4 linked regions of the Pelodiscus sinensis genome follow. The protein of the gene in region 3 purifies or fractionates together with the protein of the main gene of each other region. This does not show direct contact. Links are inferred from orthologs where the notes say so. Each region holds a gene or a part of one and is shown on either strand. Other genes may lie near its edges. The genes, in order: NAP1L1, EPC2, H2AZ1 and ING3.

Region 1 (7,469 bases), on a different chromosome or scaffold from region 3:
AAATGAATATACTGCCCACTTTGTTATTTTGTGAGCATGTGCAAAATCTGATTAATCCACAGATGAACACATTCAAAATCCAACAAGTTCCATCACTTTCTGGAGCACCTAGCTCTCCCTTAAGTTCACCATACAACTACTGACCAATTTAGGTTAAGATGGACAGATGCATAGCCCAGTTTACCATAGACAAATACCTAAACGTTTTTGAAACATCCAGTGGAGCAGAACTGACTTTTCCTGGGTGATGCATCAGAGATGGAAGCGGTCTCTTGCATCCATAGGGATAATACAGACTAATTCGACACAAGATCCCAACATTGTTTTTATTCCTTTGGCATCTGTTTAATTTCTAACATCTCTGAATGAATTTATTTCATGTAGTTAGTTTGTACTTTGGAAAATCTGATAATGGACAACTTCCTACCAAAGTCAATGATCTGCAGAAATTTAATTTAGCAACACTTGGTTACATTCTCAGGAATGTGATATCCACCTAGAATAGTAATCTCAGATCAAGAAAGAAGAGCTGCAGGAGAGCTCTGCCACACAAATGCACAATGCCTACCTCTATTCAATATCATCTTTTCACATAAGCGAACATCTTCATAAATGTGTAAATGATTAAAACAATTTTTCTAAATTTCTAAGAGACCTAAAAAGTCCATCTCCTGTTTCAATTTAAATTCAGTATAATTCTGGTAAGAGCTTGAAAAGTTTACCAGACACAACCCCCCCCAGGCAAGGCCAAGTAAGAAACCTAGTATCTCTACCTGCTAAAAAGGGTGCTTCCATACACTTTCCAGAGCCTCTACTCTCTTAAGCCAGACAGTCTACTTTTCTCCTCCTCCTCCCAGTGTCTCTGGTCTGCTAGAGATGGTCCGCAGCAGACCAGGGACACCGGGAGCAAAGCCGCAGCCGCGGCGGGGTCCCACGCCTCTGGCTTTGCTCCTGGTGTCCCTGATCTGCTGGAGACCCCCAGCAGACCAGGCTTTTGTTGTGGACCCTGGGGCAGAGCAGCTGGGGCACTGCCGGTTGGTCCCGCAGCACCGCTCTGGGCACTACTGGACCAACCCGGCAGCACCCCAGCTGCTCTGCCCCAGGCATCCCCAAGTCAGCCGCTGCTGAAACTGACCAGCGCTGACTACAGGATGCCCGAGGCAGAGTTGCTCTGCCCCAGGCTTCCTGGAATCAGCCGCTGATCAGTTTCAGCAGCGGCTGACTTGGGGACGCCTGGGGTTCTTAAGTTGAATCTGTATGTAAGTCAGAACTGGCGGTCAGTTTCAGCAGTGGCTGAATCTGGACGCCAGTTCCGACTTACATACAGATTCAACTTAAGAACAAACCTACAGTCCCTATCTTGTACGTAACCCGGGGACTGCCTGTACTCCAGTCTTCTGGTCTTTTGATTCCTCTTTCCCTGAGGATCTCAGTATTTACCTCTGCTGTTGGTGGTCTTAACATTTCCCAAGAAGCATGCTATACATGAATGCATTGAAACAGGAGATAGACTTGTTTTAGGTCCCTTAGAAACTTAGAAAAATTGTTTTAATCATTTACACATTTATGAAGATGTTTATACATGAATGTTCCATCCAGCAAGCTCCAAACAGCTAACAAATCTTATGAATTTCACTTTGCTACTGCAAAGATATTGAATTTTTGGCTACGCATTAAGGAAAATATCAGTACATTGATTATCCTCCGTTTACTTTCAGAGAGTTATTTTACCAACCAAAGAAGGTTTGGTTTTGTGTGTATGTTATTAAGCTGAACTGCCATAGAAATTCATGTTGTAAGTGCCTTCCTGGTTTCTTGGGATAAACTTAAAAAACAATAAATGGTCTGGTAGCACTTTATAGACTAACAAAACATGTAGATGGTATCATGAGCTTTCGTGGGCACAGCCCACTTCTTCAGATGACCAGAGAATATATTCTGATAGAAGTAGTATTACCCAACTGGCAACATTATAAAAACAACCCCTCTGCACTGCTTGGCACGTGCTCAGGTTATGGAGGTTACCAATACATCAAGTTTCCGTTTTGACAAGTGACCACTCCATAACCCAGACCATTACTTGGAATGGTGAGTAAGCACCAAGAAGGAGGAGCATGCAGCGCCCAACTCACTAGGTACCATGACTAGGGGGGAAGCTATGAAGTGACTAGAGCCAGCTCTTCGAAAGGCGGGGGGAAAGAAGAGGAAGGGGGAACAAGCTATCTGTCGCCAGGCTCTGAATCGCTGGGTCCGCCTGTCAGTAACAAGTTGCGCAGCACAGAAGCCGCCACGCTTCCCAGGGAGAGCGCAAGGAGCCAGAGCTAGCAAGGCACCTTCGCTACCCACCCCAGGCGCACACCCCCCACGACACTCCTCAGCCCACCCCCCCCCCACCGCACATAGCCCACTCTCCCCCCCCAGTCCGCCTAAGAACAGCCTCCCCCATCCACCCACCCCGCCCCCTAGCTCCCATCCCTCCCCGCAGGCACAGGCCGGAGCAGCGCCATCCCCACGTGCTGCGAGCAGGCAGCCTCCCCCCTCCCCGCCGCCAGGCCCGAGGCAGCGCGGCCTAGCGCGACCCCAGCAGCATGGCGGCCCCGGGGGAGGGGCAGACCCGGCGCTGCTCCCTGGGGAGGGGCAGAAAGGCCCCGCAAAAGGGGAGGGGCCCCGCGCCGCGCAGACACCGGGGGAGCAGACTCCGTCCGGCCCAGCCGCATCCGCTGCCGGCCCGGCCCTGCCCGTGGCGGCCCCTGCCTGCCGACCCCGGAACAGGGGCCCGGCCCGGCCGAGTCCCCCCTCGCCCGCCCGCCTCTCCCCGCCCGTCCACAGCCGGGCCGCTCATCCCGCCAACGGCCCCCGCCAGCCGCCTCCCCGCTACCTGCGCCGGGCCGGGGCTCGCAGTGACTCAGGAGCGAGGAAGAAGCCGCCGCGCGACTGGCGGTAAAAAAGACCCAAGCTCCCGCCGCTCGCGCTCATATAGAAATAACGTCACCACGTTGCCCCCTCCTCCCCCTTCCCCCGCGCGCCTATGCCTGTCCCTAGGCAACGCGCGCGCGCGCCGGGATGAGTGACTGGGCGGGAGCTGTCCGGCATCGGCCCCGCCCCTTTCCGTCCCGCGAGGGGTCGGACAACCGGGCGCGCGAAGAGGTCGGGCTCGCGGGCGGGGCACAGCCTCGGGCAGCCCGGCCGAAGCATGGGAAGCAGCTCGCAGAGCGTAGCGCGCACAGCCCCAGACCCCACATGTGGGCATCGCCTACGCCCTGACCGCAGCTGCCCGGGCCGCGTGAGATCTCTCCCACAGCCTCCTCCCCCCAGGTCCCACCTGAGATTTCACAGACACGCACAATGTGAGTGCAAACACGTGCCTGAGTGTGATCTGGCTCACACAGCCATCCCACCAAATCCCAAGTGTGATCACACACCAGTGCACTGCAGCGCAGGCTGAGCATACTACACACAAATTCCCTTCACAGGGCCGGCCCACAACATTTTGGCACCTGAGGCAGGGAGCTCAAATGACACCCTCATGTCCCTAGCTTGGGCCAAAACTTTGAAAGGTCTCAATTCTGCCTTCTTCCTGTTCTACTCCTCTCATGGTACTGCAGAGAGAATACGCATGTACCAGCAGCAGACACAATTTTCTACACTGGGTGCTAGTGGCACACACACACCCCCAGTCTGGCACCGGAGGCGGCTGCCTTAGTTCACCTCATGGCAGGGGCGGTCTGTGGCTATAGGCGGACTTGGCCGCTGCCTAGTGCGCCACCGCCCGGGTCGCCCGATGATGACGTCACAGGGGCGCCCATGGTGCGCGACGATGACGTCAGGCCATTGATGGCCCTGCCGATCACGCGTTCCGTCTGGGGCGCCAGCTGTCACAGCTGGCCTCAGGCCGCTTCTGCCTCATGTTAAGGCTAGTCATGTCCCTTCCAGGCTGACGCATGACACCTGCACTCTGTTGCAGGCCAAAACACAACATACACCCCACCAGCCAAAGGGTGACAAACACAGTCCAATCCCCTCCTGCATAGAATAAAACACTAACTCAGAAAACAAACTGTTGTGTATAAACAGTTCTGCAGATAACACAACAGAAGTGCTGTTGAACTGTCACATGAGATAGCAACCAACGCATGCAAATTGCTGTGTAGATTTGAATGAAGTTCCCTCCTAACTTTTTGTTTTGCACTTGGTTCTGCTTCTGTGAAATGAGAACAAATTTCCTCACAAGAAGCATATTTTCAAGATAGCAATTTAAAGAAATATACTGTATGGAACTTTTGGAATACAGTAGAAGAAGGCAAAAGAAAATGACATGGTCTGAATAAAATGAAATGCTGAGATGTGATTGTGCACCTGTTGACATAAGAGACTTTCAGTATCCTTCATTTCTCAATATTTGTAACTGTCCAAGGATAAATTGTGACTTTTGTCTTACATTACAAAGGCTGCTCATGGAGCTAGAAAACAGAAGCAAAAAGTAATAAACTAGAAATTGGCATTAGACATAAGCCCAAATAAATTTCAGGATGTGGAGAAGATATAATGTAAAGTTGATAAACTCAAAAAAAGAAAACAATTGAAATAAGATTAAATATGAGAAGAAAAGTTAAGATCTGACGCCCCTGGTTATAGTGATAATTTCAAAAATGAAATATACTAGAGATTGCATACAATACACTATTATGTGACTGGAGGGGGACCTTGAGTAACCCACACTGAAAATGTCAAAATGTAGGCTGAGAAAAGGAGAGCAAATTCTCCCAAAACTAGTGACAAACTGTGATTAGATTCACCATCTAGTCACAAAGGCTACATCTAGATAGCGGGGCTATTTCGGGATACTGGAAGTATCAATTCTGCATCTTTAAACGTGCCCGTTATTTCTAAATATATTTTAAAATAATGGGTGTGCTCTTCTGGCATCCCTGTAACCCTTGTTCCACGAGGGTTAAGGAATTTGTTGGAATAGCGCTTTATTTTGAAATTTGGTGCTATGTAGACACAGCTATTTTGAAATTACCTCAAAATAAGCTATGCAATTTGCATAGCACCCAAAGTGAGCTCTTGATCCCTATGCTAGTTATCAAGAAGCTAAATTTTTAAAAAAAATATCACACAACCCCTTTATTGCATTCAGTTCTCTGTCTCCCAATTAGCAAATAGTTTCAGTAAGGGGAGGAGTTATTAAAACTGTTCACCATACAAAATGTTTTCGGATCCACAAAGGGCCAGCCACATTATCAAATCAATACTAGTTTGTATTTTACCCAAAGTACCATGCTACCAGCCAATCCTTTAATATATAAAACTAAAGGTTTATTATATAAAAAAAACAAGTAGAGAATTGTCAGAGAAATCAGATACATATATATGACTTCAGATTACGTATTTCAGATTCTTAGTTGCATTGGTAAGTTTTCTGGCTTGCAATGTCTTTCTGAAACATATCCAAAGTATGGAAAGTCTATCAGTTCTTTTTTCAGAGCTTTAGTTGTACAGAAGTTATTCCAGAGGTAAGAAACAGGAGTGAAGAAAAATGGAGAAGATGCAGCTGCTTTTTATATCTTTTGCCAGTGGTGTCTATATCTTTTGTCCCAAACACAAACTCACAGCATGTGGCATAGAAAAAGCATGAGTCCCCTGTCCACAGGTATGTCATGACATGTTTGGCTGACTCTTAAGTGTAGCCCCATGTTTCTTTCAATGGGTTCATTGTATATCTGATTGCACTCAATAGGTCATTGAGCATGCTGGTCATAGTGCTGATGCCAGTCTGTCTGAGGGTGTCACCCAGATACACAGCACAAGCTGGAAATATCAATATATCACACACATTTATAACTACAAGACAAAGATGATATGTGCATATAAACATGATTATCATATTTAGCCATCATAACTTTTCCACTGATACCTTACATGGCATATCTTGTAAGAAGCACTGCAATTTTGTAACATTGGCATCAATAATATTATATATAGTCACACATATTCCATATAGCATCACAAACTAACAATGGATTGGAATTCAAATTTGTAAATAACTGTGTTTGTTGTGGCATACATAGCCATAGGAAATAGCAATGAAAGGTCAGGTCCTAAATGAAATATCAGTCTTGGATAGAAATTCCACATTAAGTAGTTTATTTCCATTGCTATATAAAATCATTAGAATAAAGTATAGGACAAATAATTTTATTAGTGAACATGAAAAAATGGGCCTAAAGGAGGTGAGGGAAGAGAAATAGCTGTATCCATTGGAGTGCGTGTAACTATCCCAAATTTACTTAATAGTTTCACAGAAAATTCTATGTACTGGAAAGTCAGTGTCCTTATTGTTTTGGGTAGTTATTGTGATGCAGTTAAGGTTCATCTGATTTGTGTGTTATATGGTCAAAAGTATGGCAACACTGAGGATCATGTAGCTTTCTCACTTTGCTTTAAACTGAAAAGAACAATCTCACTAGTTCCGGGTAGGTCTATACTTAAACATTATGGCTACGGCTACACTACACATTTTTGTGGCAGAAAATATGCTAATGAGCGACTCATTAGCATAAACTGTGACAAGATTAGCATATTTTCTGCTGTTTCTTTTTGTGCCAGGGGTTTTTGCGCAAAAAGAAGCAGTATGGACATTTCCTTTTTGTGCAAAAACCCTGTTTTGCATAAGATCCTTATGCCTCTCCAGGACAGGCAAAAACATGTAGTGTAGACATAGCCTACAGTGACACAGCTGCTGTGCTTTAGATACTACACTGTAGTGCTTCAGTGTAGACACTACCATGATAGGAAGGATTCTCCAGTCAGCATAGGCAATCTACCTTCCCAAAAGGCAGTAGCTCTAGCACTGGCTACACTAAGGGCTAAGTTAGCATAGCTACATCTCTTAGGGGTGTAGATTTTTCGCACCCCTGAGAGACATAACTATGTCACTTTAAGTTTTCAGGGTAGACCTTCAATTTTTGCACAGTAACAGAATCCATGGTAAGCTTGTGCTGCAGGATTCCCAGTTAGATTAGTCATTGCACAAACATGAAAGAGAATGCAGTGTGTACTTCACCCTGGAAAGGTCAGCATGAGAGCTGGGCAGGAAACAGTTTTCCTATCCTGTAAATATGTTTCTGATATTAAAAAAACCCTATCTTGAATCAGCACAAAAATTCAAAATCTTAAAAATATCTATGATCTGAATATTAAAAAAATATTTTGATTCAGGTTAATTACAACTTTTTTTTGAGAATTTCAAAACATTTCATTTCAGTTTTGACTATTAACATCTCTACTATAATTAGTTCAAATTTCAAAATGAAAAATCCTTTCAAACTGGAAAACTAGAATATTTCATTTAGAAAATCTGAAAACAATTTTTTCAACATTTTGAAGTCAAATAATTAGTCACACCCAACCCTTTCCTGTGAACCATTTCAGTTTTTATAAACTAAATTTCCCAACCAGATCTACTC
Region 2 (6,903 bases), on a different chromosome or scaffold from region 3:
TCAGGTTTGGGAATCTCCCCAATACTCTCAGCCGTGAAGACTGAAGCAAAGACTTCATTTAGCTTCTCCACTATGACTTTATCATATTTAAATCTAATTCTCAAACTTCCATTAAAAACAATTTTCTTGCACCAGTGGACAAAAGTGTAAAAAGTAAAGGTAGTAAAAACAGTTGCAAACATAGTGAAAACAATCTTAATCAGTAGATCTTGAAATTCAATGAGAAATAATAATTCAATGAGAAATGTAATGAGAAATAATGATGACATCGTTATATATTATACCACACAAATCTCAGTATGTAATGACCTTAGAATTTAACATATACAAATTCCCTCCCATTTTAATGTAATGGGAGCACTTATTTTGTTCATACATTAAAAATCACTTACACATTAAAAGGATTTTATAATATATAAGTTAGCCCAATACCCTCCCCGCCCCCACACACACACACACACACACACACACACACACCTCTAGTGTAACAATAACACAGGCAATTTATGACATTTTCTCCTCAACAACAGAATACAGAACTCAGAAAATTTGTATTTGATGTATTTACTTAGTTTAACAAGTAACATTCTGAACACTGGTATATTTTAAGATTCTAAAAAAAATACTGATAAGGTAAGATAATGGAGATTGCCTATCTCCTAGAACTGGAAGGGACCTTGAAAGATCATTGAGTCCAGTCCCCTGCCTTCTCAGCAGGACCAAGTACCATCCTTGATGAATTTTTGCCCCGAACTCCTAAATGGCCTCCGCAAGGATTGAACTCACAACCCTGGGTTTAGCAGGCCAATACTGCCACTTATATTTTTTAAAAGTCTAAATCAAGAGTCATGTTTGCCTTTTAAAGAGCTTCCATAATTCACAAACAAGCAATATGTTGCAAGGTCTGCTACTGTGACTTTTAAATTACATTTTACTGCAAAGGAAAAGTAAAACGTACAATCTCCAAGTTTGCTTTAAAATTATTGTTTTATGTTTATACTGTTCAGAATGTTTTATGGCTGTCTGTTTAAAATTATCTAAATACACACATATATTCCAGGGCAATTGCAACCTCTATGATCAAAATACAGCGAGAGCACTCTAAGCGTTGATCACAAGATTTCTTTCAATATTCTACTGTATTGAGAAAGCCAATCAGAGAGAGTTGGAGCCTTCTTCTGACAGCCACAACCTCTGATAAGCCAATCCATGCACATAGTGGGCTGGCTACAAGGCGGAGACAGAAATTCATTGAAGAAATTCTTATGGGTGCATTTACTCTCCACTCTGCATACAACTACAGCAAGTCTGATGAAAACCTAGTAGTGCAAGTGGTAGTCTTGAAGACTACAGTCAAGCAGCACTGCAATCATGGACAGCAAGTATTCACAGTGCTGTCCTAATGCTGACAAGACTCCTCTTAAAATTATTTTCTGGTAAATATACAGACAGCAATGTATCTCTACACACAGCACTGCAAAATTGGACAGCAAGCATTCTACAGGTGATACGTTTCCTAACATTGATTAGCTTACTTAAAATCATCTTAACACTAAACAGCATGTTGTATACTAGAAAATCTAGGTCTAGCTATAGATCCAGTTAGAGCTATGCAATGGTATTTCACATATTCAACATACAGTTACCATTTTTCTTAAACATATAAATACAGAGCATTCTTACAGCAGTGATGATATATTTACAACTATACGATCTGCAACAGCAGACAGCTGGTATTCTACTTGCAACATTTACAAAGCCTTTCCTAAAGAGTGTAAATAATGCAGCCTGCACCCGAGTGTGTGTGTGTTTTGCAGGCTGCAATATCACCCCAAGCACAGCAATGGAAAGATAAAAAGAAAAGCTCCAAACATGTTATTTTAAAATATTGACCAACGAAGCACAAAAGCTTTACATTATAATGCCCACGGCCGCTACAGCACCGCGGCAATGGACAGCTGAGCTACTGCAAGCCATGCATGCTCCCGACACTGATGCATCAGTTAACATCCAAACTCAGAAAGTAAGTGCAGTCTGTATTTGACAGCTTGAAATATAATGTGGGAATAGGGTCTCCCACCAAGTTATTTCACTCTCGAGTAGCGTCAGGGACGCTGATACCCATAGTATGGCAGCTTAGAAGCAGGACACACTTCCATTTTACAATGCAAAGCCTTCCTGACTGCACGGAAGGAGCACAGCGTAGACAGCCCCCTCCACTCCCCTGCTGCCTTGGAGTCCCACATACACAACAGTGAGGAGTGCAGCAGCACAAGCACGCTACGCCAAGAGCGGCCGGCGCGCACACTGCCGCATTCAAAGATGCCTCTTGCGCCTACTTCTCCCTTACGCTAGCGTAAGGGCCTCCCCGGCTAATCAAAACACTCGCGAGTTTGGACGCAAAGAAGATGGCGGAGCAGAGCCCGCTTACGGCGTCGGAGGAGAGTTTACGCTGCGCTTCTTGCGCAGGACCCATAAGGACCACGCAAGGCTGCGGCGTTCAGCGTGCGTAGCGCGCTTGGCGAATACCAATGGCCTATTTCCCGGGAGGGGAGGGGGTGTCTGATAAACAATGGTGCCCCCCCTGCGCGGCTCCCTTACCGATTCCTCCTCCTTCTCCATGCCCGTGGGCATCTGCGGCACGGCCCGGTTGATGGAGACGCAGTCGTTGAGGTCGGGCATGTCCTTGCCGCGGTAGATGGGCAGCGGTTTGGCGGCGTCTAGCGCCCGGGCTCGGAAGGAGAGTTTGCTCATTGTCTCCCCCTCACAATAACACCCCGGGGCCGGGCGGGCGGGGGGCCCCTCACTGCGGCCGCGCCGCCGCCTCCCAGCCGCTCCCGCACGCGGCCCACAACACCATGGAGAGCCCCGCCGCCCCGGCTCAGCTTCCCGCAGAGCCGCCCGCAGCTCGCCGCGCACGCCCCGCAGCCCTAGATCCGCGCCGGGCTCGCTCGATCCGCTCCCTGCGCCATGGCAAACATGGCGGACATTAACCAAAGCGGCCAGCGATCCCGGCAGCCAACGCGAGAACTAGCGGGCGGGGGGGGGGGGGGGGGGGAAGGATGGTGAGGGAGTGAGAGGGGGCGCCGGGCTGCGCGCGCAACCAGCCTGTGGCGAGGGCTTGAGGGAGAGCGCGGCGGGGGCAGCGCGACCCTGGCTGCGGGGTGAGGGCTGGGCAGGCGGCCGGGGACAGGAGTTCGTGTCACGGGCCGAACAGGTGCGTTCACCCGACTCCTCAAGCATCCGACGCGGTGACCTGCTCGAGTGCGTGTCTGTGTGTACACACTCCTGCCCTCACGTGCGCCCGGCCCCGTCCCACGCGGAGAGCGGTACCGCTGCCCGCTGCGCAAACACCTGCATGGCCCGTCGCCAGACACCACCGCCGCCTCCTCCGAACTGCCTACCCCCAGCAGACCGGGATGTAGCTCTCCCGCAGCATGAAGCTGCGCCGCACACAGCTGCAGATCGTACACTAATACATATTTTTCCATGCACCTATCACCTGGCATTGCATAGCCCTGTAGCTCCCTCATCCTTTCATGCATTATTCGCATATTGCAAGGGGAAAACACTTGGCACAGCCAATTGTACACATGATGCCTTTGAAGCAAATGGGAGATTTGGTCATAAACTTAAAAAAAAAACACAAGGATTTCTGCCATGGTTCCCAAAGCATCCTGCAGTGTTAGCTAGAGTTACTTATGCGCAGTGCTTTTTTTGTGCAGGTACTGTCGGGTACTCGGTACCCGCACCTCCAGACGCAGTACCCGCACCTCCAGTCAAAGCTCAACAACTTTTCCCCTGGTGTACCGGCACATTTTTTTAATCAAAAAAAAAGCACTGCTTATGCATGAGGTAATTCCTCTTGGTAGCCTATTTCCTGTGAGAGCAGTCAAATCACAAATAATGCATTAGCATCCCAGAGTAGCTCAATCCCCACTGTATTACTACGGGAGTGGCAAAGTATCAGAGGGGTAGCAGTGTTAGTCTAAATCTGCAAAAGCAAGGAGGAGTCCTGGGGCACCTTATAGACTAACAGATTTATTGGAGCATAAGGTTTTGTGGGCAGAGACCCACTTCAGCAGGAGTGGCAGCAGCACTTAGCTCAAGCAGGAAACTTGTGTCTACACAGGTCAGAGGTTAAAGTTAAGAAGCAACATAAGTTTAAGTTGAGCTAATAATGCAAAGACGACGAGTCCATCGTTTCTCTCTTTTCCCTTGGTGTTCTTGGGGCAGAGTGTACTGCCCCCAGTACTCCTGGCTGGGGAGGCTGGACCCACATGGCTTCCTTCCTCCCAAATGCTAGGGCTGCACAGTGTGCCCTCCTCTCTCTCCTACTGCTTCAGGGAGCATGTACTTGCTCACCCCGTCCAGTCTCTTTCCCTCCCTGTGGGGTGTGCTGCCCCACCACCACCTCCTGGGGAGGAGAGCAGGCTCAGCACAGGGCAGGGCTGTAGGTGGGGGCAGGCCTGCCTCCCCCAGTCCCAGCTGCACCAACCACCCATACTCAAAAGCTTGTTTCTTCATTGATCCAAAACAGATACTACCTCACCCACCTTGCATCTTTAATATCCTGAGGATGCCACAACTACAAATTACCCAATTAGGAATTTAACTAGGTCACTTGAGTTAATATACTGTACTTACATTAATGAAAATGAATGGTATCTTTACTTACCAAAAACAGTAAGAGCCTATGGTGTATCTCATTTGAAAGTTGTTAGGCCAGATTCTTACCTCAAATTTTGTCTGATTCAGCACCTGTTAAAATAAAATGAAATTTTTCCATCGACTTCAGTGAGATTTGGATTAGGTTCATCATAACCTCTAATCAGTGGCAACTGTTCGGGAGGAACATAAGGGAAGCACACCAGTCATGTGACTGCCCCATGTGACTCCTCCCTATGCTACCCTGAGCCCTGGGGAGGGCCCCCTCTCTTCCCATCACAACCTCATATCTTTCCCCAACTTCCTCCCTCAGCAACATGTCCTGAAGAATTAATGGGGTGGGGCCTGATCCCACTTGCACTGAGTTGCTGTTTTCCCCACTGATGAGTGTGTGTGTGGGGGAGAGGGGGCGACCCCCTGAAGCCTATGCCCTTCCCTCCATGGCAATTTGGGGAACACATGACCCTTTTGTGTTCGATCCCCACGTGTTGCCCCTTGCCTCTAATCATGCAGTACTTAAACAAAACCCTGACTGACTTCTTTAGGCCTTCTACACAAATCTGTCAAATACCTGAGCTCGGGATTCCATGTTTCTCCTACGGAAGTTGATAATATAACTCAGGGGACTAGTTAGCCATCTAAAATTTGGATACAAGTTAACTAACACTATCATCCTACCCACCAATGGGAGACCATCTAAACTCCCAGGTTACGTCTACATTGGCAAGATTTTGCGCAAATACTCTTTAACGCAACAGTTTTTGCTTTAGAGTATTTGCACAAGAGAGCGTCTACACTTGCACGTGCCTTTGCGCAAAAGATGTGCTTTTGTGCAAGAGCATCCGTGCCAGTGTAGACGCTCTCTTGCGCAAGAAAGCTCTGATGGCCATTTTAACCATCGGGCTTTCTTGCGCAAGAAATTCATGTTGCCTGTCTACATTGGCCTCTTGCACAAGAACAGTTACGGAAGAGGGCTTATTCCTGAGCAGGAGCATCATAGTTCTTGTGCAAGAAGCCCTGATTTCACACATTAGAACGTCAGAGTTCTTGCGCAAGAACTCCCCACCAGTGTAGACAGGCAGCAAGTTTTGTGCAAAAGCGGACACTTTTGCGCAAAATCATGCCAATGTAGACACAGCCTCAAAGTAGAATATCATCACTAACACAGTAATAGAAATGTAGCCGTGTTAGTCTGGTGTAACTGAAGCAAAATGCAGGACTATGTAGCACTTTAAAGACTAACAAGATGGTTTATTAGATGATGAGCTTTCGTGGGCCAGACCCACTTCCTCAGATCAAATAGTGGAAGAAAATAGTCACAACCATATATACCAAAGGATACAATTTAAAAAAATGAACACATGAAAAGGACATATCACATTTCAGAACAGAAGCGGGATGCGGGGGGGGGGGGGAAGGAAGGTAAGTGTCTGTGAGGTAATGGTATTAGAGGTGATAATTGGGGACGCTATCTTTGTGACATCTTTATGATCTGGACACATGGCCAAGAAACACTAGAGATATTCCACAGAGATTTCAACAACCTACACCCCACCATCAACCTCAGCCTGGACCATTCTACAGGAGAGGTCCACTTCCTGGACACCACAGTACAAATCAACAATGGAAAATTAGACACCACTCTCTACAGAAAACCCACTGACTCATACAGTTACCTACATGCTTCCAGCTCCCATCCAGAACACACCATACGATCCATCGTCTATAGCCAAGCCCTTCGATACAACCACATCTGCTCTAATCCCACTGACAGAGACCAGAAACTTCAGGATCTCTACCAAGCATTTATAAACCTCAACTACCCACCCGGAGAAATAAAAAAGCAAATTGAAAGAGCCAGACAAATACCTAGAAACCATCTACTTCAAGACAGACCCAAGAAAACCAACAATAGAACACCACTTGTCATCACCTACAACCCCCAACTTAAACCTGTCCAACACATTATCAATAAACTACAGCCTATACTGGAACAGGATACCATACTCCAAGAGGCTCTGGGAGACAGACCCATAGTCTCCTATAGACAACCACCTAACCTCAAGATGATTCTTACCAACAACCACAGGACATACCACACTAATACCAACCCTGGTACCTTCCCTTGCAACAAATCCTGTTGCCAGCTTTGTCTACATATTCATTCTGCTGATACCATTATTGGACCTAACCAAGTGAGTTATAAGATCAAGAACACATATTCCTGCGCATCCA
Region 3 (7,589 bases):
AAATAGGATGTGGATCACATTAAAACTAACAATATAAAAAGGCAAGATTAAGGTTCAGGTTGTCCAGAAGTGCACGTTAGGTTTTAAATACCTAATTGTACAACAGCAATATTGCATGAAAGTCTGCACTTGATTTTTTTTTCCTTCCAAAAAAATCCAACACTGCAAATATTTTGTTGCTATTAGGATTTGAAAAACGCTGGACATATACTCGTAGCAGATTTTTTTTTTCTGTCTACAGTGAAATTACAGTTATGGGATTCCTGCTATAACAGCCTGTCTATACACAATGGCTGGGGAGGGAACTAGTGACTAAATAGTTAAATAGTTTAGTTATTTAAACTATTCTTGCAGTGGATTATTCTTGCAGTGTCAGTGTGACCTTATCTATCCATATTTTGGAACAGCATCAGCTCATTACACTAGCTTTACAAAGAAACTTTGGCATAGTGATATTCAACTTCGCAACACCTACCAGTGATTAGAAAAAGCACCATTATTCACAAAGCCTGCATTAGGTGCCTGGGATCCCTGTAGGTTGGCTGGGGGAGAACTGAGTACCTCACTATGGGATTCACACAAATGAACATGGTAGGTAGTTCTGCTTCTACAATAGCTGTGGGAGATGCCAAGCTGAGAGGGAGGGTGTGTAAAGCCCCATGCCTCTCTTGAGCCAGTCTGCAGGGAGGTGTCTCTTCCTGATTGGGATTCTTTGCGCAAAGCTTCTTTAAGTGTTCTAACAAGAAGCCTGTGAGGGGCATGACCTCTCAAAACTTTTAGTCCAGAAGTGGATTTCCCACCCAGGATGTGGGACACCCTCAGTTGCACACACTCTCTCTGATTTGAACTAAGCTAACTGTTAGGCAATGGGGTATTATGATGTGGGGCTCCCTCAGTCTCTCCCATAAAAGCTGTCCAAAGTGGATAAACAACTTTTTTAAAAGATCACTAGTTCAAGGAGATTGGATGTCTCCCCTTCCAGGCAAATGCTCCAGCAGCCAGACAGGCTACAGAGTCATCCATGAAATCTCTCTGCTCAATAGCCAGGGGACTCCCCCATTATGTAGGAAATGAAGTTCAAATTGCTGCTCCAAATCAGGCAGAGCAAGAATTTGAAAGCAGGTCTCTCTCATCCCAGGCAAGTGCTCTAACCACTGACTTATTAGCACTGATGGATGTGGCTGTTGACACAAGAAAAGGCTGACCTGCCTTAGGCACCTCACTGCAGAAGCGAGGTAGCGGCTGTGAATTCAGTCAAGGAATTTAACTACCTCTGAAGAATTTGGCCCTGCCCCTTGACATTTCCCACCAAAGTATCTGAGCCATTCCCACCAATGAGGAGTGTGTGTGGAGGTTTCAACCCCCTTTTGTAGGTATTTAACTTTCCCCATGCATTGGATGGCTCACCAGTGGCTGAGAATTCACTGTACGTCAGGGGAAACCAGTTTTATTTGTGAATCTAGCCCTAGATATCTAAAGAGGCAGACAGGGTCCTACAGTGATTCTCAAAAGTACCCGGGTGAGCAAGTCAAAATTACTTCAGTAGAAATTGAATACCCCAGGCATAGTTAAAAATCCTACATCTTCAGACATCCAAATAACTTTAAAAATGTGCCCCTTTGTCACCGGAGACACCTTATACAATGATCAAATAAATTCTATTTTAGATGAAGACTATTATAAAATGCTAATGGTACGTTCAAGATGGTAATGCTGCAATATCTAAAAATGCCACTTGCTTAGATTGCCAGACAATTGAAACTTTCATTGAGTAAGATATGTTGAAGGTCCACGCAGAGTAACTTGTTACAATATAAATACCAGGGACTTCTTATTTTTTGTTACTTATAAAGCCCGCCCATCATTAAATCTTTGAGGGTGTATGCACATAAAATATTCTGAAACTTTTGACCAAAGTTAAAATGACCCGTCTTCCCTCAGAACATTACTTGAGGAAATAACAGTATTATCCTCTCCAGCAAGTCTGAAAATGACCTTATCTTGCACTTATAAATAGACTTTTTCCCCTCAGAATACTGATTTGTCAAAATTTTAAGTGTTCTGTAGAGATGGTTTAATTTTGATGAAGGCTAGATGGCAAGCAGGCAGGGCTTCATGGAATCCTGCCAGACTTTCTATCTGGTGGATTGATGAGGAGTCTGGGAGTGGCTTCTTGACAGCCTGCCCTTTCAGTTTTCAGCATAGGATGACTTGTGGGGCTCATCTACACTGGCCCCTTTTCCGAAAGGGGCATGTTAATTTCACAGGTCGTAATAGGGAAATCCGCGGGGGATTTAAATATCCCCCGCGGCATTTAAATAAAAATGTCTGCCGCTTTTTTCCGGCTTTTAGAAAAGCTGGAAAAGAGCATCTACACTGGCCCCGATCCTCCGGAAAAAAAGCCCTTTTCCGGAGGATCTTATTCCTACTTTGAATAAGATCCTCCGGAAAAGGGCTTTTTTTCCGGAGGATCGGGGCCAGTGTAGACGCTCTTTTCCGGCTTTTCTAAAAGCCGGAAAAAAGCGGCGGACATTTTTATTTAAATGCTGCGGGGGATATTTAAATCCCCCGCGGATTTCCCTATTACGACCTGTGAAATTAACATGCGCCTTTCGGAAAAGGGGCCAGTGTAGACGTAGCCTTGCTGTGATAGGGACGCCCTTTTCATTGAAAACTTCTAAATTTAAGCTCTTGTTTTAATTCAGAACAAGATCAAACTTTGAGTTAATTCTGTTTGAGGATTTCAGTTTCTCAGCATAGCAACAATAAAACAGTAGGATGGGAAACGAATTCCTAAATCAAAAGTGCTTCACCAATCATCTCCTGCCACCACATTTACCAAGTTTATGACAGTTGACTTAGCAATTGCCATACTGCATCAATCAGTGATGTCTTTGGTCTCCTATCTTGACAGTGATTAATACCAGGTAATTCAAAGAAACCTGCAAGATACCTAATGGAGTTACATGGAAAAACTTCTAGTTCCTGACAAAATGTCTACATGGGGTTTTAGCTGAGTATAGAATGCCAATTAATTCTAACTCAAGGTTGAGGGCCTCTGTAGATATACACATAGGTTGCAATATGCTTTCAAAGATTTGTGCTTGAGAAGGGTGAGCAGAGAACTATTAATCATGTTAAGATAACTCCATTGGAAACATCTTCCTTCCTGATTGTCACTTGACTAGACCCAGAAGCGGCCCAAGGCTGGCTGCGGCAGCTGGCGCCCCAGGTGGAAGGCGCGATTGGCGCCCCCACCTGCACGGTCGTCAATGGCCGTGACGTAATGACGGGGCGCCCCTGACTAGACCCTTATTATGGTACACCCACCTCCCGCAGACACGCAATGGGTAACTGTTCTTGAGACTCATTGGAATAAATGGAAAGGTCCTAAAAAGTCTCCCCTTAGTCTAGGACAGTGGTCCCCAACGTGGTGCCTGTGGGCGCCATGGCACCCGCCAGGCCATTTCTGTGCACCCGCCGAGTGATCGGGGCCGGCCCTGAACCTCGGCGCGTGGCGCATGGATGGTGCTGGCTCCGGGCACGTGGCACAGGGGTGGCACCAGTCCCGGGCACGCAGCACATGGGCAGTCCCGCCCCCAGGCGCGCAGTGCATGGGGCTGTGCCGGCCCTGGGTGCGTGGCATAGGAGCGGCACCAGCCCCAGGCATGCAGCATATGGGCTGTTCCGGCCCCAGGAGTGCAGTGCATGGGCGGTCCCGCCCCTTGGCACCCGGCACAGGAGTGGCACCGGCCCCAGGAGCGTGGTGTATGGGCAGCCCCAACCCTGGCCGTGCAGCATAGGAACAGCGCCGGCCCCAGGAGTGTGGCGCATGGGTGGCGCCAGCACTGAGAACGCGGCGTATGGGTGGCCCTGCCCCCGGGTGCATGCACAGCCCCCCCCCCCCCCAGGTACCCGGCACGTGAGTGGCCCCACCCCCAGGTGCCCAGCACCCCCAAAAGGTTGGGGACCACTGGTCTAGAAGGCAGGAGCAGCTAAGCATTTGACAAAATAAAAGCTGTTGTGGGAAAACAAATGTAGCATGACCAACTCTTGCACTAAGTGGTATCTTCCTTAAAAACACTTGGAATGATGTGTGGCTGCAAGATAATCTCACCGGCTTTTAAGAAAACCTGCTTCTAGTTGCTCTACAGAGATCGAGACTTAAAACGTGCCCTCGGAGTACTCCAGCCCCAGGGAACATGTCACACTCCCTCTCACAAAGCGTCACGAGGCTCCTGATTTTTACAGCCATGTGGCAAGCCTGGGGGGGGGGAGGGGCAGGACTGACTCATGTTTTCTGAGCGCCCGTTTAGCAACCTTGATAGATGCACCAGGCACCCGCTGTGCTGAGCCAGGCAGCAGGGATGCCGGGCAGCTGCATAAGCAGTCACGAGACACAGGCCCCGGCTCCCACCTTTCCCCGCCCCGGAGCGCGACCCAATGAACCACGCACTCAGCACGCCCGTGAGCGAGGAGTGGTGACGTCACTTTAAATATGGACGGAGTCTTTTGAGGACCCGAGGAAGCGGGTTGCCCGCTCTTGTCAGTCACTCAACCCTACCAACTCCGCCCACTCGCTGGCCTATGATTGGTCCGGGCGCCTCAGCGAAGGCCCGTCCCCACTCAGTCGATTGGCTAGCAGCAGGAGCCGGGTTCCCGGATGCGGGCACGTTCGGTGGTTATAAAGCGCTCGCGCAAGGCGGGAGCGGGCGCAGTTTGAATCGCGGCGGGTGCTGGGCTCGGGCTGGTGTGGTTGGGCACGCGCTCTTTCGCTTACTACCCGTTTGTGGCGCTGCAACACCGCTCATAATGGTAAGAGAGCCGCAGGAACGGGGCTCAGCGGGGAGACTGGGGGGTGCGGCGGCTACGTCGCCTTGCTGCGGGAAGGGCCGAAGCTGAACTGAACGCGCCGCGGAGGGTGAAAGCGCGCGAAGGAAGGGGGTTAACGGTGGGTGGTGGCGGTTGCCTGAATGGGAGGTGCTCATGCTAAACCTGTTGGGGGAGGGGGAGAAGAGGAAAGAAGGGAGATGGCGCACGCGCAGTAGTGACGCCACCGATGACCGGAAGTGGGTGGGGCGCATGCGCTCGGGAAGCTGCTTGGGCCTGCTAGCGTGGAGGAATTAGACACGCTGGTTAGATACGGGAGGCGCATGCGCTTAAGGCGCCGCGCGCCGGTTACCTTCACTGCTTGCGTTCTGTATGGGGTAGCATGGGGCACGCTGCGCTTGTGGCAGGTGCTGCTCCCCATTAATCTCTGCTTTTTTGCCTTAGGCTGGTGGAAAAGCTGGAAAGGATTCCGGAAAGACCAAGACCAAGGCGGTATCCCGCTCACAGAGAGCTGGCCTGCAGGTGAGGACTGGGCGAGCTATCTGCTTATAGCACAATCGCTCTGGACTGGGAAGGGTTTGCTGGAGAGCCCTCCAAAGTTACGGCAGAATACTCTTATTGCAAGGTTTTTAAATCGTGAGCTTCTTACATGGAAGATCAGGTTGAGGAATTTGTCTAGTCCAACCCACTGTTCAAAACATACAGTGGACGACTGGATCACACCTATGCTAGTGTAATCTCAGGGTGGAGAGCCTGCTAAAAGCACTCAAACAGTTACTTGAATTGCAGGTGTATGCTTTATAGTCAATGAGCTTGAGCGCTCAATGTGTGTAGAGGGGGTAGTTGTGTGTTGCTGCCTGAGTGCTGTAGAGAAGCAAGAAGTGTAAGACTGCAACTTTACACTCTTATCCCAGTGATGTCTGTCTGCCAGTCCCAAGCCCTTCCATGTGATATGATTGGTGTATCTTCTATCTTACAAGCCATTTCAGGTCTGTTGATAAAGCCTGAGTCACTTTAATTCTATTCTGACCCTTTGCAGTTCCCTGTTGGCCGCATCCACCGACACTTGAAATCAAGGACCACCAGCCATGGACGTGTGGGAGCTACAGCTGCAGTATACAGTGCTGCTATTCTGGAGTACCTGACAGCTGAGGTAAAATTGAACCATGGGGAAATGTGGCAAGCAGCTGACATTGCTGGCGCTGCATAATGACCAAGGTTGCTTGTCTTCTGAAATACTTCTACTATTGGAATTTGTCGTAGAGTTGTGTTCAAGAATCCTTGGTTTAATCATTTTCCCCTACAAGCCCATTTAAGTTGGTAAAAACATAAACGGATGTCCCTGTGGTCTGTTCTCAACTAAAGTTAGGTTGAGATCACTACATTGCTTAATGTAGTGCCATTTTAACCAGAAAGGACACTCTCTCAATGACTTAACCACCTGCATTCTGCTACAAAGACCTTTTACATCTGCACTGTCATTCATGTTAAAATTCAACACTCTCCAAAAAGGAATGAACAAACACTTGAACTATCTTACCCATTATCAAGATAGCTTCCCCAATTATCACCTCTAATACCATTAACTCAAACATCCCATGCTCCCCACCTCTAATCATCAATTCAGACACTTATCTTCCTTCCTTCCCCCCCCGCATCTCCCTCGTGTTCTGAAATGTGATTTGTCTATTCATGTGTGTTCATTTCTTTTAATTGTATCCTTTGGTATATATGGTTGTGACTATTTTCTTCCACTATTTGATCTGAGGAAGTGGGTCTGGCCCACGAAAGCTCATCATCTAATAAACCATCTTGTTAGTCTTTAAAGTGCTACATTGTCCTGCATTTTACATTGCTTAAGGGTGTGAAGAATCTGCACCTCTGAACATTGTAGTTAAAGCAGCCTAATCACCAGTGTAGATAATGCTAGATCAATGGCAGATCTTCTGTTGGTTTAGTTTTGCTTCTCAGGGAGGCTTATTATCTATGCTGATGTAAAAACCCCTCCTGTTGGCATAGGTAATGCCTACACTTGAAATGCTGTAGTGAGAGCACTATAGCTATGATGCTGTTGCATTTTAAATGATCTTTTAAAACTGTTTGATCAGATCTGAAATGGTTTATAAGCTACCCCAATCATATTGCATGGAGGCATGTGTGACTTTTTTCCAAAATGTCACAACTCTTTTGCCTTACTCTTGCAAAATATCTTCCCCTTCAAACTATGGGGAGGAGACTGAGGAATTATCCTGCAATGCAATCTGTTAATACTGTGTCCAAACTTAACAGTGCAGTCTGCAAAACTGTTACACAAGACCCTGATGATCTCTATGTAGCCCTAGCCTATGGTATCTTTCCGGCTATTTTGAAGATGTCATTAACTACTGCAATCTCTATATGGTGGGTAGGGTCTGAATGTACTCTGTCTGCAGGTTCTTGAGCTGGCAGGAAATGCATCCAAAGACTTAAAAGTGAAGCGCATCACTCCCCGTCACTTGCAGCTTGCAATCAGAGGAGATGAAGAATTGGACTCTCTCATTAAGGCAACAATTGCTGGTGGTGGTATGTAATTCCAACTCATAGCTATTCAAACTAAACTTCAAGTCAAATAGACTTAATTGCATTTTACAAAATTAATACACAATTGCAGTACTATCTGGATTTTGGATGACATAGGGAAAATGCATTTCAAAATTGCCTTAATTCTTGGTGTTTTTTCCCTTAGGTGTAATACCACATATCCACAAATCTCTCATTGG
Region 4 (7,259 bases), on a different chromosome or scaffold from region 3:
CACTCAAACTTTTATTATAGAGATCCTTGTCCCTTCCTTTGATACAAGTCACTAGATAGAATCAGGATGAAGTACTGGCTGGACCACTGGTCCTGCACTGGTATGGTAATTCTTATGCTGCTGACAAATCAACCCCATTTACAACTCTCTACCCATCACCCATCAAACTCCATTTACAATGCAAGCTGTTTGGGGGCAGAGATCATCTTTTCATTCTGTTAGTACAGTGCCTAGTATAATGGGGTCCTGGTACATGACTAGGGTTCCTAAATTCTCTGGAAATACTACTACTAAAACAGCCAAACCCTGTCCTTATTGGACTGAGATGAAACATGAAAACTTCATTCCGAAATGGCATTTTTTTAGTAAATGATGAAAGACTAGAGGAATTCAACCACAAGTCTAATTACCTCTGAGAGGGCCATGGTTTCCTATATTTTGGACTAGGGGTGTTAGATACCATGTATTTCAGTAACTGTACAGTTGGAACAGTTTTAAGCAGTTATATGGTTACTAAAAATAGTCTGGGGCCAGGGCTGGCAGCCAGTGTGCTCCCAGCCCCACTCCCAGGGAATGCCCCCTGCTACCCTATGCTGCTGCCTCTCCACAAGGAAAAATGGCTTAAAAATTGGCACCCTATGCAGACCACCTCCCACTTGCCACCCCACGCTGCTGCCTCTGATACAGAGGCAGCAGGGTGGGGTGGCAGCAGCCCCTTTTTGCAGGGGGTCTGAGCTCCCCATGAACAGAAGCTGCACCAGCATCCCACTTGCCCCCCATATAGAGGCAGCAGCACAGAGGGATGAGGGGGTAGGGGGCTCTGTGGAGTTGGCATACATGCACAAATGGCTTAAAAGCCGGCTTCCTCTGGGCACCGGTTCCTGCCTCACATCCCCTTTGCTGCCTGATAAAGGGGCAGGGGAGGTTGAGTGTAGCTATTTTAGTTAACCCATAAGTCTAGGCTTATGGGTTAATCATTTAAATGGCTATACGTTAATATCCCTATTTTGGCCCTGACCCAGAGTCGAGTGCATTCAATGGAAATATTCTCAAGTCAGTGGGTTTAAGATTAGGCCCACATCATATTTTATATAATAACTGAATATGGACAGTGGCAGCCTCTATTAGTGATTCATGTGATAATATATGGAGTTAGTTGCATAATACACTTGGTACATATGTAACCCACAAACCTTATGGATGTGATGTACTGTCTCATGTAGTGGCACTGATACCACTTACAGCGAGAAGAATGCATTTGCTCTACAGGCTCAACTGAGAACCAGCTAGCTTTTAGCTCAAGCTCTAGAGGCTCATGCACTAAACTCCAGAGGACCCAGGTTCAGTTCCACCCATTGACAATACATATACATTATATTAGTTACATACATATTGTTGACCCATGTGCAGTATTCCTAACTTCAGGGGTTCAGAAATGAAAAGTCAGGCTCCAAAATACAGAGCCAAAATTAGTTTAGTTTCAACACCAAAATACATTTTTATTTGAGGTTTTCTGGGGCCTTTTTAAAGACTTGCTATATTTTCAACCTTTTTTCTGACTGGAATCCTGGGCTGTGTCTAGACTGGCCAGTTTTTCCGGAAAATCAGCCGCTTTTCCAGAAAAACTTGCCAGCTGTCTACACTGGCCGCTTGAATTTCTGCAGAAGCACTGACTTTCTACTGTAAGAAATCAGTGGTTCTTGCGGAAATACTATTCTGCTCCCGTTCGCGCAAAAGTCCCTTTTGTGCAAAACTTTTGTGCAAAAGTGCCAGTGTAGACAGCTCAGATTTGTTTTCCGCAAAAAAGCCCCGATCATGAAAATGGCGATCGGGGCTTTTTTTGCGGAAAAGCACGTCTAGATTGGCACAGACGCTTTTCTGCCAAAAGTGCTTTTGCGGAAAATCGTCCGTGCCAATCTAGACGCTCTGTTCCGAAAATGCTTTTAACTGAAAACTTTTCCGTTAAAAGCATTTCCGGAAAATCATGCCAATCTAGATGCAGCCCTGATGTCTAGTACTATACATTTTAAAATCAGTGATGCTGCTTCCCCTGCATGATACAGAGGATATGCAGTTGGAAGTGGCAAGGAGGATCAGCAGTGCTAGTCTCCCACTGCCTGTTCAGGTTTGGGCCATGACTCTCCAGAAAGGCCTACGGACAAGATGCCAAAACAGAGTGAGTGACATTGCAACCTGGTGCAGTAGGATCACTTGTCACACAAGGGAAGGAGTGCAGGGTCATCGGTGCAGCTTTCCTTCACTGCCACAGAATGTGCTCCTGCTCCAGGCCACCAGCCTTGCAGACCATGTACTCACTGAATGATGGGATGTGACATTTCCAAGATTGCCAATCATCAGTAAATTCATGAACAGTCCATAAAGAAGAGCTAAAATTGGACCTGTTTGTAAAATCCATAAAAAAAATCTAGGTATCACTAAAAAACACTGAGCTTTGGAGCACAGCTGAGGAATCCCTCCCACTTGGTGCCAAGGCAAGCTCTAAGCTAGGGGAGAGATAGATACGTTGAAGGGTAGGGATAGGGTCCAGAGTGACCCAGACAAATTGGAGGATTAGGACAAAAGAAATCTGGTGAGGTTCAACAAGGACAAGTTCAGAGTCCTGTTCTTGGGACAGAAGAATCCCAAGCACTGTTACAGGCTGGGGACTGACTGGGTAAGCAGCAGTTCAGTAGAAAAGACCTGGGGATTACAGTGGACGAGAAGCTGAATATGAGTCAACAGTGTGCCCTTGTAGCCAAAAAGTCTAAGGGCATATTAGGGTGCAGTAGTAGAAACATTGCCAGCAAATGTAGGGAAGTGATTATTCCCCTGTATTCGGCACCGGTGAGGCTGCATCTGGAGTATTATGTCCAATTCTGGGCCACACATTACAGAAAGGATGTGGATACATTGGAGAAAGTCCAGCAAAGGGCAATAAACATTGTTAGGGGGCTGGAGCACATGATTTACAAGGAGAGGCTGAGGGATTTGGGCTTATTTAGTCTACAGAAAAGTGTGTGTGGAGGGGGAGTGGGGGGGGATTTGATAGCAGCCTTCAGCTACTTGAAAGGGGCTCCAAAGAGGCTGGAGTCAGGCTGTTCTCAATAGTGACAGATGACAGAATGAGGAGCAATGGTCTCAAGTTGCAGTGTGGGAGGTCTAGGTTGGATATTAGGAAAATCTATATTACTAGGAGGATGGTGAAGCAGTGGAATGGGTTACATAGGGAGGTGGTGAAATCTCCATCCCTAGAGGCTTTTTAATTACAGCTTGACAAAGCTGGGATGATTTAGTTGGGGTTGATCCTGCTTTGGGCAGGGGGTTGGACTGGATGATATCTTGAGGTCTCTTCCAACCTCCATGATTCTGTGATTCACTGGGCAGCTCCAGGGACTCTACAATTTCCATGGCAGGGGCAGAGAGGGGAATTCTCCTGGTGAAGATGGCTTCAGTCTCTGATGGTTGGAGGATGCTGCCTCCAGTTTTGAACTCTGTTTCGGTATCCTTAAAGTCAGCACAGCAGCAACTTTTGGTGAGTGTGTGTGCAGCACACACTTCTGCCTGGCTCCCTTGGACTGGGAGAGATGAGTACAATGTGCTGGGCATCAATCACCAACTGCCTGCTGGTAAATCACAGGACTGGTGGCAGCCCCCAGTCCCAGCTCCTCCCCCTCTCCCCCCAGTCACTTCATCACACACTGGAGAACTTGGAGGGCTCTGATGTGACTAATAAGTAGGTGCAACTAGCATAATAACTTTGCTGTGTGACCTATGAATTAAAACAAAGAATATTGTTCACTTTGATCCTTTTGAGCCATTTTCATGTTACATAAGAATGTGTCCGAACACAAGCCGGGGGGGGGGGGGGGTCTGTATTTTTTTTTTCTAAACGGTCCATAAAAATCACTTTCAGAAGCTGGCTAGCCTGGATGCCGCCCTTCGGCAGCGGCTGAGCACAGCGCACGGTGCCTTGGCCAGCGCCGGCCCGTGGAGATCGCGCTGGGGCTTGGCAGCACCCCGCCACGCGCTCCACACCCCGCCTGCTTCTGCCTCGTGGATTAGCCCCGCCCCTCAACTCCGGGGCGAGTCCGTCTCTACTGGGAGGAGGGCAGCCGCCGCTGGGCGGTGCATTGTGGGACATGTAGTCCCGGCTCCCGCCTTCACACGGCTACTACGTTTCCCAGGACCTTGCGGGCGGGCGCGAGCCATGGCGTACGTCAGAGGCGCAGGCAGCCAATCGGCGCAGGGCCGGAACGAGCCCCGTCCGCCGCCAATGTTGTTTTCGCCGAGTCGAGGTGCTGGTGTTGTTGGCGGCGGCGCCATATTGGAAGGGACGATCCCCGCGTTAGCGAGAAGCCCCTTCGCGCTGGCCTCGCCGCCGCCATGCTGTACCTGGAGGACTATCTGGAGAGTGAGTGCGCGCGGGGCGGGGGTCCCAGCCGGCCGGGTGGCCGAGCGGGACGGGGGCGGCAGCGAGGGGGCTCCCCCTCCCCCTCCCATGGCGGTGATTGACTGCTCCCTCCCCCTCCCCTCTGTGTCCCCGCAGTGATCGAGCAGCTACCCATGGATCTGCGCGACAGGTTCACCGAGATGCGCGAGATGGACCTACAGGTGCAGAGTACGTGAGTCCCGCCCACCTCCCGCCCACGCGCCCAGCCCGCCGGCGGGGGCGGGCGCGGACCCAGCGCTCTCAGTCAGGCGTTGGCCGGCGGCGGTAGCGCGGCTCGTAGCCGCTGCTCCCGGGCTGAGCGGGCCCGGCACGAGGGGACGCTCCTGCCCAGCGAGCGGTCCGTGCGGGTGCCGGGGGTAGCCGCGGCGCCTCACGCAGCGAGGGGCGGAGCGCGCTGGGCGGAAACGTGCCGAGCTGTTTCCCTTCTGCCACCGGCTGCCTCGTGACCTCGAGCAGCCATGGGCGAGCGGCGCCGGGTGTGTTGACATGACACCGAGCCGAATTCGGGTCTGCAGATGCCCTGCGGCAACGCCAGGGGGAAGGAGTTTCACTGCTGGGGCTTGTGCGGCGCCCCAGGGCAAGTCAAGGTGGCACTTACCAAGCGGTGGGGTGCTGGCTCTCAAGTCCCTGGCAACGGGCTGGAGCTTCACTTGCCCCCTTCTATCAGCCGGAGGCTGTGCACTGTGTCTGAACCATCCCTGCCTAGGCATGCTGGATGAAGGAGTTCCCTACACATCCTTTTCCGGTTGCTGGCACCCTAGCTGTGCTTGTCAGGAATCCAGTCTTCTTGGGTATCTTTGTGGTATTCCTTTTTGCCATCCACTTATGGCTCATTTTCTATTTTTACTTTTGTTTTTGGGAGTCCTGCCTTTTGACTTCCTTTGACCACTTGTTCCTGTAGGGATTCAGTGACAGGATACCACAGAGGATGTCTACCTGGGATTAGGTTTTTGCTTTGATATGATTCTTCACGAAATCTCCGCTCTTTGTGAATCTGAGGTGTTGAAACATCATGCTTTAAATAATTTCTTTGATTTCCATATGTTGTCTTGATTTCTCAGACAGGTAGGAAGGCAACTCAGCAGCATCATACTATATCCTGGAGATGATCTTTAATGGATGAGCAAATTAACAGGTTTGGGCCTACAGTAGTGCCTTGGATCCTCTTGCAGATGTAACCCAATTAACTTAAGTATGGTGGAGAATGCCACCTTGAGGCACAATCCTGAAGACTTTCATCCATCTAGCAATAGATCAATCCATAGGTTTCTGAAATAAAAGCCTTAACCAGTCTTGATCTCTGAACATTGAAATTTCTTGTTGTCCCAGTGGGTCTGGTTCATCAGTCTCACCATCTCTGTTGAAGCATTCTGCACCTGCCCTCTATATCCAAGGACTCCGACGTGTCTCAGCCTTTGTGTACTTTAGGCTTCAGGGCTTGGAGTCATTGATATTGAATTATGACTTAAAAGGTGTTGCTAGTTCTTACAATGTAAGTAGGTGATACCAAGAGAAAACCTGCAGCCCTTTGATTTTTGGCAGCCTCTAACTGAGACCACAAATATATCTCTTTGACTCATGATTTGGTGCTTCTTTGGACGGGGGTGAATCTTTTCACACACAGTATTTTTTTTTTTAACCAAGATTACCCTAATGTCATGGGAGTCAATAGAAAAACTTTTTTCCCAGACCTTTGTAACTCCAGTGTTTCTTGTGCTTCACAAAGTAGTGTAGAGCTTTCCAAAGTAGTGTAGAAATTCCAGGCACTCTTCTTATCTCTTCCAATCCAGCTGTTTGTGATCATGACTGCTGGTTGGACATTACATATGAATCAGAGAACTCTTGGGGTGCAGCAAGACTGTGATCAATGCAAGGATCCCATCTTCCCAAAATTTTTAAAACAGCTGTGTAAGTCAACTGACTTGAGTGGGTGTTGGTTTAGAAACTTAGAAGTGACATCTGGGCCAGGAATCCCTCTCTGTTAGAATTAAAATTACTCTTGCACCATGTTTTAGACCATCTGGGGGACTGGGAACCTCTCATTACTAAATAGTCATAGAAAAAGTATATAACTTCAAGTGATGTGTTGAAAGTTTTTAAGATCAAGTTGTAGATTACCAAGCTTATGTAGCCTAAGGCCAATCTCTGGAAAATGCCTTCACCCTGGTAGAACATTTTGGCAAGAGAAATGCCAAGGTCTTTAGAAAATTGGCTCATAAGGGCTGCTATTCAATGATTAAGAAAAAGTTGTGGGTTGTGTCCTGTACCAGACCTCTTTGAGGACCTAAAAAATAAAGAATGGAAAGGCTGCCCTTCATTCTTTTGGCCCTCCTCCCGCAAAGGAGGGGAGGGAAGACCTTTTTTTCCCAAAAGCTGCCTCTTATTAACCATAGTGGATTTCAAAGGAACTTGGCTGAACAAGCTATTAAACCAGCAAAAAAACCTTGCTTTTAAAAAAATTGTTCTGAAGTATTTAGATATCTGGTCACTATTCCTGTGAGTACCTTTTATTGTCTTGGTGAAAAGGGGAGAATAAGAGCTCTTTGGGCATATTGGTCATATGCCATTGTTCTATGTGCTGTAAGATTAGGTTTTAAAATGGTGTAACAGAGCAGCTGAATTTCTCCCTGACTTCTTGAAAGCCATTTACCCAAAGGACTTAAAAAAGCAAGTGGACATTGTTTGGTATGTACATAGGCTTGCATAGATACCTTGATTTGCCCTGCACAGAAACTAGCTGGCTATGTTTTTCTTCTATTTGAGTTCTATTAAAGGCTTAGTCTGATGTGGTAGCTTTTTCAGCCTGTGA

What was found.
Region 1: the proteins of H2AZ1 (region 3) and NAP1L1 purify together in Homo sapiens (affinity purification with mass spectrometry; 3 studies listed by BioGRID and IntAct, with this or other methods). This does not show direct contact. The link is inferred for Pelodiscus sinensis from reciprocal best matches to the Homo sapiens genes H2AZ1 and NAP1L1.
Region 2: the proteins of H2AZ1 (region 3) and EPC2 purify together in Homo sapiens (affinity purification with mass spectrometry; 3 studies listed by BioGRID and IntAct, with this or other methods). This does not show direct contact. The link is inferred for Pelodiscus sinensis from reciprocal best matches to the Homo sapiens genes H2AZ1 and EPC2.
Region 4: the proteins of H2AZ1 (region 3) and ING3 purify together in Homo sapiens (affinity purification with mass spectrometry; 5 studies listed by BioGRID and IntAct, with this or other methods). This does not show direct contact. The link is inferred for Pelodiscus sinensis from reciprocal best matches to the Homo sapiens genes H2AZ1 and ING3.

What each region holds. Positions count from the first base shown.
Region 1 is NC_134711.1:68,096,497-68,103,965, forward strand, and holds the start of NAP1L1 (nucleosome assembly protein 1-like 1), read right to left. Parts: upstream 3,022-7,469; 5' UTR 2,879-3,021; intron 1-2,878. UniProt on the Homo sapiens protein: Histone chaperone that plays a role in the nuclear import of H2A-H2B and nucleosome assembly.
Region 2 is NC_134717.1:26,031,034-26,037,936, reverse strand, and holds the start of EPC2 (enhancer of polycomb homolog 2), read right to left. Parts: upstream 3,016-6,903; 5' UTR 2,755-3,015; coding exon 2,602-2,754; intron 1-2,601. UniProt on the Homo sapiens protein: May play a role in transcription or DNA repair.
Region 3 is NC_134715.1:23,414,869-23,422,457, reverse strand, and holds the start of H2AZ1 (histone H2A.Z), read left to right. Parts: upstream 1-4,572; 5' UTR 4,573-4,587; coding exon 4,588-4,815; intron 4,816-5,274; coding exon 5,275-5,352; intron 5,353-5,869; coding exon 5,870-5,983; intron 5,984-7,262; coding exon 7,263-7,392; intron 7,393-7,555; coding exon 7,556-7,589. UniProt on the Homo sapiens protein: Variant histone H2A which replaces conventional H2A in a subset of nucleosomes. Nucleosomes wrap and compact DNA into chromatin, limiting DNA accessibility to the cellular machineries which require DNA as a template.
Region 4 is NC_134711.1:42,743,939-42,751,197, reverse strand, and holds the start of ING3 (inhibitor of growth protein 3), read left to right. Parts: upstream 1-4,251; 5' UTR 4,252-4,383; coding exon 4,384-4,411; intron 4,412-4,546; coding exon 4,547-4,618; intron 4,619-4,651; exon of another isoform or gene 4,652-4,936; coding exon of another isoform or gene 4,937-5,027; intron 5,028-7,259. UniProt on the Homo sapiens protein: Component of the NuA4 histone acetyltransferase (HAT) complex which is involved in transcriptional activation of select genes principally by acetylation of nucleosomal histones H4 and H2A.